2 linked regions of the Neurospora crassa OR74A genome follow. The protein of the gene in region 1 interacts with the protein of each later gene in a biochemical or structural test. Links are inferred from orthologs where the notes say so. Each region holds a gene or a part of one and is shown on either strand. Other genes may lie near its edges.

What was found.
Region 2: of the proteins of asl-1 (region 1) and os-2, one has a biochemical effect on the other in vitro, tested with the Schizosaccharomyces pombe proteins (5 studies listed by BioGRID). The link is inferred for Neurospora crassa OR74A from reciprocal best matches to the Schizosaccharomyces pombe genes atf1 and sty1.

What each region holds. Positions count from the first base shown.
Region 1 is NC_026505.1:3,719,061-3,723,429, forward strand, and holds the start of asl-1 (ascospore lethal-1), read right to left. Parts: upstream 2,862-4,369; 5' UTR 2,579-2,861; coding exon of another isoform or gene 2,544-2,578; 5' UTR 2,186-2,543; coding exon 2,104-2,185; intron 1,917-2,103; coding exon 680-1,916; intron 623-679; coding exon 304-622; 3' UTR 1-303. Other genes in the region: NCU01346 (hypothetical protein), read left to right, coding at 2,544-2,578, 2,886-3,138.
Region 2 is NC_026504.1:4,949,247-4,953,708, forward strand, and holds the start of os-2 (mitogen-activated protein kinase), read right to left. Parts: upstream 2,934-4,462; 5' UTR 2,232-2,933; intron 1,943-2,231; 5' UTR 1,623-1,942; coding exon 1,567-1,622; intron 1,507-1,566; coding exon 1,459-1,506; intron 1,387-1,458; coding exon 1,257-1,386; intron 1,191-1,256; coding exon 1,047-1,190; intron 987-1,046; coding exon 630-986; intron 574-629; coding exon 495-573; intron 441-494; coding exon 257-440; intron 197-256; coding exon 118-196; 3' UTR 1-117. UniProt on the Schizosaccharomyces pombe protein: Proline-directed serine/threonine-protein kinase involved in a signal transduction pathway that is activated by changes in the osmolarity of the extracellular environment. Controls osmotic regulation of transcription of target genes.

The sequences.
Region 1 (4,369 bases):
GATGCCTACTGGCTAGAACTCATACAATGCAGAGAATGGAAATGACTGTCCTTTGTTGTTTATGGTGCAGTCTCTAGAATCCGAACGTCGTAAGAATGTCGCGCCCCCCGTTTTGCACGCCGCCCAATGTTATTAACAGAAAGGACAGCCCGCGAATGGTCGGACCCAGTTGAGGTTGGATGGTAATTATCGTCAACGTGGGTGACATCCGAAAGGTCAAGTAGGTTAAGAAGACGACCCTCCTTGTCGGGAATCGTTGCCTGTTTCATCATCCAATATTGTCTCAACCTCCGCACCCCATCGCTATGAGAATCGGCGAGGAGCAACATTCGGCGGCATGCCGACGGGCTGATTAGGTATGCCAGCTCCCATACCGTAGGGGTTCATCTGGTGACTAAATGGCTCGATGGCTTGCTGCATGAACGCACCATGGAGACCTTGCTGTTGCGTCACTGGACAGTCCTTGTGTGCGAGTAAAAGTGTCTTGAGATTGACCACTTCTTCCCGAAGCTGTGTTATTGTTGCAGTAAGGGCGTCATTCTCTGAACTGAACATCTCCACCTTTTGCTGGAGGTTAGCGAGCCACTGTTTCTTACGCTGCCGACATTTCAGAGCGGCAACCCTGCAAACTGTTAGTATCAAGTGTTTTCCAATGGCTAACATAACGAGTTTCACATACCTGTTCCGCTCCAGGAAGTTCTTGCGCTTTTCTTCTTCCGTCATCTTGGACTTTGAGCCCGTTCCGTCATCCTTGCCTGGCTTCGACTCGTCTTCCGAGCCTGAGTAGTCCATACCGTTGAGTGAAGAAACAGATCCGTTTGTCTTGGTCTTTTTATTGGCTGGAGTCTTGGCCGGAGTTTCTTCAGCCTTGCGACGGGAACCCGTCGTCGCTGCGCTTGTGGAGTTACGCTTCCCTTTGCCACGGGTATTAGGCCTGGCAAGTTCACTGTCGTCTGACCCGATGCTAACTTCACTGACACCACGTGCTGAGCTTCCTGCAATGGATACGTTCCCATTCATTTGTGGTGACGTGTTAACTGGTTGCACAGGAGGAGCCGGCACAGTGTGCGGGTGACTTGATGGAGGTGGCGGAGGTGCCGACACCACGTTAAATGATTGGCTTGGTGGCTGAGATGCGTTTCGTCCCTGTGCTAACATGAAAAGACCATTTGCCGCGTCGTTATCATGCGGGTCAAAGGGTCCAGTCGGTGGCTTCGTCTCAGGCTTCAGAGGCGGAATGCCATTGGGGAGATCGGAGGCGGGTTGTGACGTAATCGATGGCGGTTGCGATTGTTGTTGATGCTGATGTGCTGCTTGTTGTTGGGCCTGGGCCTGAGCTTGGGCCTTGGCGGCAGCGGCACTGATGGCGGTTCGGTGAAAGTCGATGGTTCCAGGCGTGGCAGCAGGGCCGGCAAGTTGTGCAAAGAGAGTCGAGTTAGGACTCGGGGCAGGGAACATAGACCCGCTACCACCAGGCGTCAATCCTGTTCTGAGCGACGATTCGTTTGGCGTTGGGAAACCTCCGCGAATGTGGTCGCCAAAATAATCAGAGGTCGTTGGGCCCGACAGCATTGCCGGACTCAATGGGCCGGATCGCAACGAGTTGCTACCGCCCCAGGGGAAAGGTGTTGAGCCAGGAGGCAAGATGGATGATGGGGACGCTAGGGCGGCGACGGGCGGGAGTTTAGTACCGCCGGGCGTTTCGGGGGCACCACCGAAGGATTGCTCAAATGGGTTCGGCTCCAGGCTCAGGGAGCCGCTGATGGGGTTCTGCGAGAAGTAGTCGGAAGGGCTGTTCGTGGACTGTTGTTGCGCAGCGGGACGGGGCGGAGGCGCGAGTGGTTTGGCTGGTTCGGCATTGGTCGTCGACTCGGATGGCTTCAGGGGAGGTTCATGCTTCGATTCGGGGTGGCCATCTAGATGTGCAAAAATTGAGTTGGCAACGATGTCTCTCTTGATATACGGTACGAGCCGTTGACTCTTTCTCTATCTCTCTATCCTCCCTCTGCAGGGACGTAACGCGATAGCAGACGGGACGACAGGGTGCTCGACGACGGGAATAGATGATGACGGTCGTGACAGGGAAGAAGCGACTCTACTCACCTTGTCGCGGTGGGGATGTCTTGTTGGATTGCTTGGGTGATTTGGACTCACCTCGGCCAGCGGCTCCAGTAGACGACCCCATGATGTCAATCCAAAACTTGCGGCGCCTTCGTGCTGCAACGGGTGCGGGTGCGGATGCGAGCGACCAGAGGCCAGAGGGACACGACGGGGTGGGAAGGGAAAGTTGCGGACGACTATGAGGTCACAAAGGCGCAAGAGAGAAAGTGTAGGTAGAGGGCTGCACGCTATGTTCGTAATGCAGCGTCCTGTCCGCCTCGCGGCTGCGTTGCTAGTATCGGGGATCGTAAATACCTTACGTAGTTCCTCGCAACAAGGTGTTTCGTATGTGTGTGTGTGTGGAAGGAGAAAAGTCGAAGGTCAGGACTTGGGACAGACGTCAGGTATGACGTGGGAAAAGAGATGGCGCAAGGGAAATAAAAATGATGGGGCCCGCTCCCCGTCCAAGGCCCAGTGAGTAAGCACTGAGTGGCTAGTTGCCAGGTGCCAATCAGGGCAGCCAGAAGAGGGCCACGACCGAGGACTGAGCGCCGGGTTGAAGATACCCGACCCCCTGTTCGCCGGTTAGAGGTATTACTAAACAAAGGCCAAGGGGTCTGTTTTTTTTTTCCCTTTCCTTCTCGGTTTGGGGGGGTGAAAGTAAGCGCGCGACAAGGAAAAGAGAACTTGACGGGACCGCAAGAGAGTCCCAAAAAGAATTCCGACAAGGCGAGAATCGAAGGGGCTTCAGTTTTGGCAGCTCGGAACGCTATCTTTGGGGCTAGGAAAGAAACCGCACAAAACTCGGTTGGTGGGAGGGAAAAGTGGATGATGGATGGGATGGATACCCGTCAGAAAGGTGTGAAATGGGCCGGCATTTTGCGCACTGTCAACCCCGTGGAGGCTGCAGACTTAGAAAATGGTTCTTGTATCGAGACAGCCAAACAGGAGGCTCCAAGAAACAACCACCGACCGGGATCTGAGTGGGACACACTCCACGGCAGTACCAGCAAGCACAGTCTCAAGCTGAAAGTCTGAACTGTACCTCGAAGTATGTATTGACTTCGGTGTTATTTCCCATACATTGATTCTTCCATCTCGACAAACGGGATTAACTCACCTAACAGGCTGGATAAACTGGGTAATTCCATAGGTACCTGATCTTGTCCCTTCCCTTTTCATTTGGATGTATTCTTGAAGTGTCGTCTCGGCTCGAAGCTAGCCATGTGTTGTCGGCTCTAGAACGTGTACGGTAGTGCATGAATGGAGTAACTTGTCGACTTTGGAATGGATTCAGCCTGCCTGAAGACTGCTTGGGTCAGCATACCTCTGCGCACACAGTCGAGGATTGATGTCTGACGAGTATATGATGGAAGGCTTCCAGGAAGTCCCAAGAGCATGGCTCTTGTGGTGAGTCCTCACAAAACCCGAGAGCAGTCGAGTTTGGTTCTTCGTTTTTTGCGACAACAAGAGGATGCTGGTATGTACATCTGCAATCGCAAACCGGCAGCGCATATTGATTGAGACATTTGCGTTCCATGTCATAAACCGTTGAGGTGGGCAAAATGTCTCTTAAGTCGTGGGTGAACAGGGATATGCCTTGGAAGCCAGCCAGGGCACACAATTGCGGCATGTCTGCCATGGCAGGCGTGTCGTTATTTTGCCAATTGCCCGACCTGTCTTTCCCAAATTGTTGGAAACTGTTTCATACTTTGTTTACGCTGCATCTTTCTTTACATCTTTGAGTTCCACCACAGGCATTGATCATAAGAAAAGCCGCAAGAGATGTCGGCCGAGGGCTCTCAACTAGGTGGTAAATATTCTGTTACATTTTTGGCACTTTTTTTCCCATTTGGGCAGAAATAGACCCAAAAAAACCTGGTCAAAACTCGTAAATTGTTAGTGCATAGAAGTGCCTCTACCGGTAGGTTCCGATCTTTCGTTCGACTTCTCGTTCCTTTCTATGCTTTTTGACACAGAAAGCTGCAAAGATTTTTGCATGCACGATTTTTGGATCCAGCAAATCACTCAAAAAGGCCCTTTTGTGGTAGGCTTAGTTGCGAAAAGGAGCATTCCAGCCAGACGTCTGCTGTCGAGGAAAGCGGTTGGAGGGTTGTGGTTTTTGCGCGGTTCCGGGTTTTGGGATGCACAAACATTGTCAGGACCTGGATACATACCGAGTCCCCCTAACTCCGGTGATGCTCCCCAACCGGCGACACGGATCTGAGCATGGGGCAATCTTTTCAACACGGTGCTTTGAGGTATCAGA
Region 2 (4,462 bases), on another chromosome or scaffold:
TATGACGGTAAGAAATCATGTGGCATGATGTCGTGGTATCATGAAGCCAGGGGACTTCTACTCCACCCCTGTGTTGAAGATTCGGCGCCATGTCTCGGACCCTGCCGTTGCCGTGTTTTATTGCGGCGGAACATCTTCCTGGAACATCATTTGCCCCGAGGCTTCGACGTTGTGATAGTCCAGGATCTCGGAGTACCTGTGATTCAGTTAGTGGTGTGTGGTTCTCAACTCATCATATTGATGCGGTGAAACTCACATCATGATCTTCCATGTGTCGACCGGGAGATCAGCATCATTGAAACTCCAATCGAACTTCTCCTCGGCAACCGGCTCGTCGGTGGGGTCGTGGTAAGGAGCAAGGTACTCGTGTGAAAGGGCCTCGGTGGCAGTTATCCGCTTCTTAGGGTCAAAGACAAGCATGCGCTCGAGCAGATCGACGGCTAAGACAGGTCAGCATCTTGTGTATCCGGCGATGGCCAGCGGCTGAGACGTACCTGATGAATCGGCGTTCTTGAACTTATTCTTCAGGGGCTGACGCTCGCGCTTGGGAAGGGACTTGACGAATCTCAGGGTCTGACGGAGAGTTAGTGACGGTGTCGCAGAGCCTTCAGCAGAGTGGGGGTACACACGTTCTCGCTAGCAATCGTGTTGATGACATCGTCTGGGGGAGTGCCGAGAAGCTCGGTGATGATGGAGAACTGGTTGACATGGTCCTTGCCAGGGAAGAGGGGCTTGCCCTCCAGCATCTCGGCGAAAATGCAGCCGGCACTCCAGATATCGACCTCGACGTCGTACTTTTGCCAAGTGAGCATGATCTCGGGGGCGCGGTAGTAACGAGTAGAAACGTAGCCCGTCATCTGAGGATCCTGGATACGCGCAAGGCCGAAATCGCAAATCTTCAAGTCGCAATTCTCGTTGACCAGGATGTTACTTGGCTTCAGGTCACGGTGGACAACACCGGCGGAGTGAACGTATTTGAGACCGCGCTAATCCTGGAGTTAGTGGCTACCGTCGTTTTCATGCGACATTGACAGGGGATGACTTACCATAATCTGGTACAGGAAGTACTGGATAAACTGCTTCTCAAGAGGCCTGGACGTAAGAAGTCTGTGAAGATCGGTTCCGAGAAGCTCGGTAACAAAGTAGATATCCTCGAGAGGAGAGATGAAGATATCGCTCAGAGAGATGACCTGTTGCGCAAGCATGTTAGTCGCGTGGTTCCCAATTGCTTGTGCAATGGAATCTGGTAGACCAACGTTTTCGTGCCTCAAGTGCTTGAGAAGCTTCAGCTCACGGTACGTGCGTTTGGCAAGGACCGGTGTGCTGAAGGGCTTCATAATCTTCTTGATGGCGACATTCTGGTTGGTGAGCTGGTCTTTCGCGGAGCTGCGCAGCGGTCATCATTATTAGCTGGGTGCGTCTGGCGGATGTGACCAGATAGCGAAGCGGAAAACATACCAGACAAGACCAAAGGCTCCCATGCCAACAGGCTGGAGATCGGAATACCTATCGCGGGATCAGACTAGAGCGCATAATGACAGAAGGGTTCGTCGCGGGGAGGCCAACCTCGAGGTGATCTCAAAGGTAGTTCCGAAGATCTGGGCGCGGATAAATTCGGCCATTGTGATGTGTGGTGTTGATGTTACAGAACAAAGGACGGAGTGAGGATTGCTGGAAGACGAAGTAGCCCTGTCTCTGGTGGGAGCGCGGGGCAAGCTGAATGGGCCGAGTGTCACAAACACAGGTCAAACGCGAGGTTTGATTCAGTGGCGGCAGTGAGGCGATCCGGTGATCGGGCGCTTTGTGTTTTTTGTGTAAGGGAGACTGAGGAGACGGACGACGTCGGCTGGGGTCGGATGTTGCCTGCGTAGTGCGCACAATAAGGGGATCGGGCAAAGGCTGAGAACGAAGTCCTGAAGGCGAACCGAAAACTTTTGTTTGTCTTGGGAAGAAAATATCAGCTTGGGCACCGAGAGCAAAAGTGCCTGGAACGAAAAAGCGAAAGGGAGAGAGAGCGGGTGGGAGCCGAATGCAAGTGGACGCAATGGACAGAAAAAGGAATCCATCCCACTTCCAATCCCTCTCCAGCGCAACCTCCAGCTGGGCAGCTCAATGGCTCGCAGTGGACAATACAGTGTGCGCCAGGCAGTCGCCAGGGCGGGGAAGTGCGGAGGAGGGAATTGGCCTTTAGTAGCGGTGGACCTTTTTTTGGTGGGTATCCGCTCGCTTACCTGCAGTAGTTCACTAACAGAACTGGGGCTTTTACCCAAATTGACGGGAATTCGGATACCTCTCGGAGGGGCAGCGACACGACAAGGGAAGTGGTGGTTGGCAGGCCGAGGTGCGCGAGGGGATCGATGATTGGGAATGCTGGTGTCCGTCGCAACTCTGTGTCGTACTCGATCCGGAATGATTTTCCTCGTGTCGTGTATATTTTGCTTTTTCGTCGGGCGGTTGGTAGGAAATGTTTTGTGTTGTTGTGTTGTTGTTGTTGTTGTTGTTGTTGTTGTTGTTAAATCTCTCTTGCGATCCAAAGGGCGATTTAAACTAAGAAACTGAAGGCCCCGCACTTTCCGACGATGGACTGTTTCTTCACACTTGGCGAGTTTAGTCGAGCTGAGGTCAAAGTCGAATCCTATCAACCGAGCAATATCGCGATGGGTGGTGGCTGAGGCGTGTATAGGTCCGAGACTGAGAAAAGACCAACGCGCAGAACACGACAGGTTTGAAGAGGAGAGAAAGCAGAGAAGGGACGTATGAGGAAGATGAGGAGCGAAAGCGCAGATGATAAAAGAAGGGAAAAAAGAAAAGCGAAGGGGCTACGAGCAGTAAATAGTGTACACGGTCAAGTCTGTTGGCACTTGGACCTGAACCTGAATCTGAACACACGCACACCCGATGAGCCAGGCAAGGGTGCATGAAGACGCAGCGAGGATGGAACGGGAGGCCGGGCTCACGGGCAAGGAAGTAGGAGGAACAGCTCGAAACGGTTAATGCGCTACCAGGAGAGGGCCGGCAACTTCCAATAGGGAAGAGGCCAGAGCATGGAGGACCGACCAGCATGGAGAGCTGGCACCACCCTAGGTACCCTGGCGGTACATCGGCGACCGTCCTCGAGACCAGGAACACGACGCCGGGACTGGAGAACAGGATAGGTATGCTGAATTTCCGTCTTGTTCAAATTCCATGCTCTGGTTCATCCATTTTCCGCTTTCTCTTTTCTGTCGTTGGTTGGGTACCTGTACCTGTCCCCTCCCTCCCCTTTGAGTCCTCCCCTCCTTGGTGTGTCTCGCGCGTTCTGCATACATACATATATACCACCATCCACCACTAACTGGTGCTAATTTCCAAATGGATGTTCCTGTTGTGTCTGATCTGCCGTTAACTGTCTCTGTTAATGCAGGGACATTTGAAAAGGTGAAGATAGCCTCAATGGATGCCATGGATGTCAGGTTGATGTCTTTTTAGGTGCAGCTTATATGCGCAAGTCAAGCAATCATCCCTTCCAACTGCTTGCAGGTGTCTTCCCTTAACCCCGCAACTTGGCCCGCGGTGGTTTCCCATAACGCTGGGTCCTTGAGGTTGTCGTGTTACTCTAAACCCTTCGTTCAGTCAAATGCTCATCACAACCATTTCACAAACTACCTACGTTCGCCAGTCATCTGATAGTGCATAGTAGTCAAGTAGAGTAAGGTAGGTAGGTAGACATGGTGCCAAGACTAGGTGCCAGACGGGCCAGACGGGCCAGACGAGGGGAGCGAGGGGGACAACGAGGGAGATGCCCGCTCTTACAACCTCCAGAAGGCTATGACGTAGTTGAGGGGTGGGGCTCATGAGCGTTAACCAGCGCTAACCACGACCCCTTGTCGCCGACACATGCCAAAAGACCCACTCCCGCTCGGCCTGGCAGGCATTCGCAAGCCATCGCAAGCCATCGGCCGTTTTGCTGAGCCCCTCCATTTCCCATGGTCCTCTCCAAATCGCGAATTTGGGTGCAATCGGACTTTGATCGAGTAATTCAGCCAATAGTCCATTTGGCGGTGACTAGTCCTAGCGCAGAGTCGACCATTGATGTTGACACCCTTTCTTTCCCTTGCTAGAAAATTGGGATTAAAAAAATAGAAAAATGAAATAGGTAGAAATCGAATCGGCCGTCCCTCCGACCGCTGTCGACGAACCAAGCATAAAGCCGCAGTCACGCGCGGCTTCCTGGTCCCGAAGCACACTACCATTTGAACTTGAGTGCTATGATTTCAAGAAAAGCAGTCACTGTCAGATCGACAAGAAGGGCGATAAACAGGTTGTCAGTGAACGTGTCTGGAGGAAAAGGTCCGGGTTGTGGAACACGAAGGGATTCACAATGCATACACTACACACTTGCCTCGCCGTTTGGGAGATTTTCATATCAACGGAGTCATACCCTGGCGATCTGGATCAGGATGCTTAAAGTTCTTCCAACCAG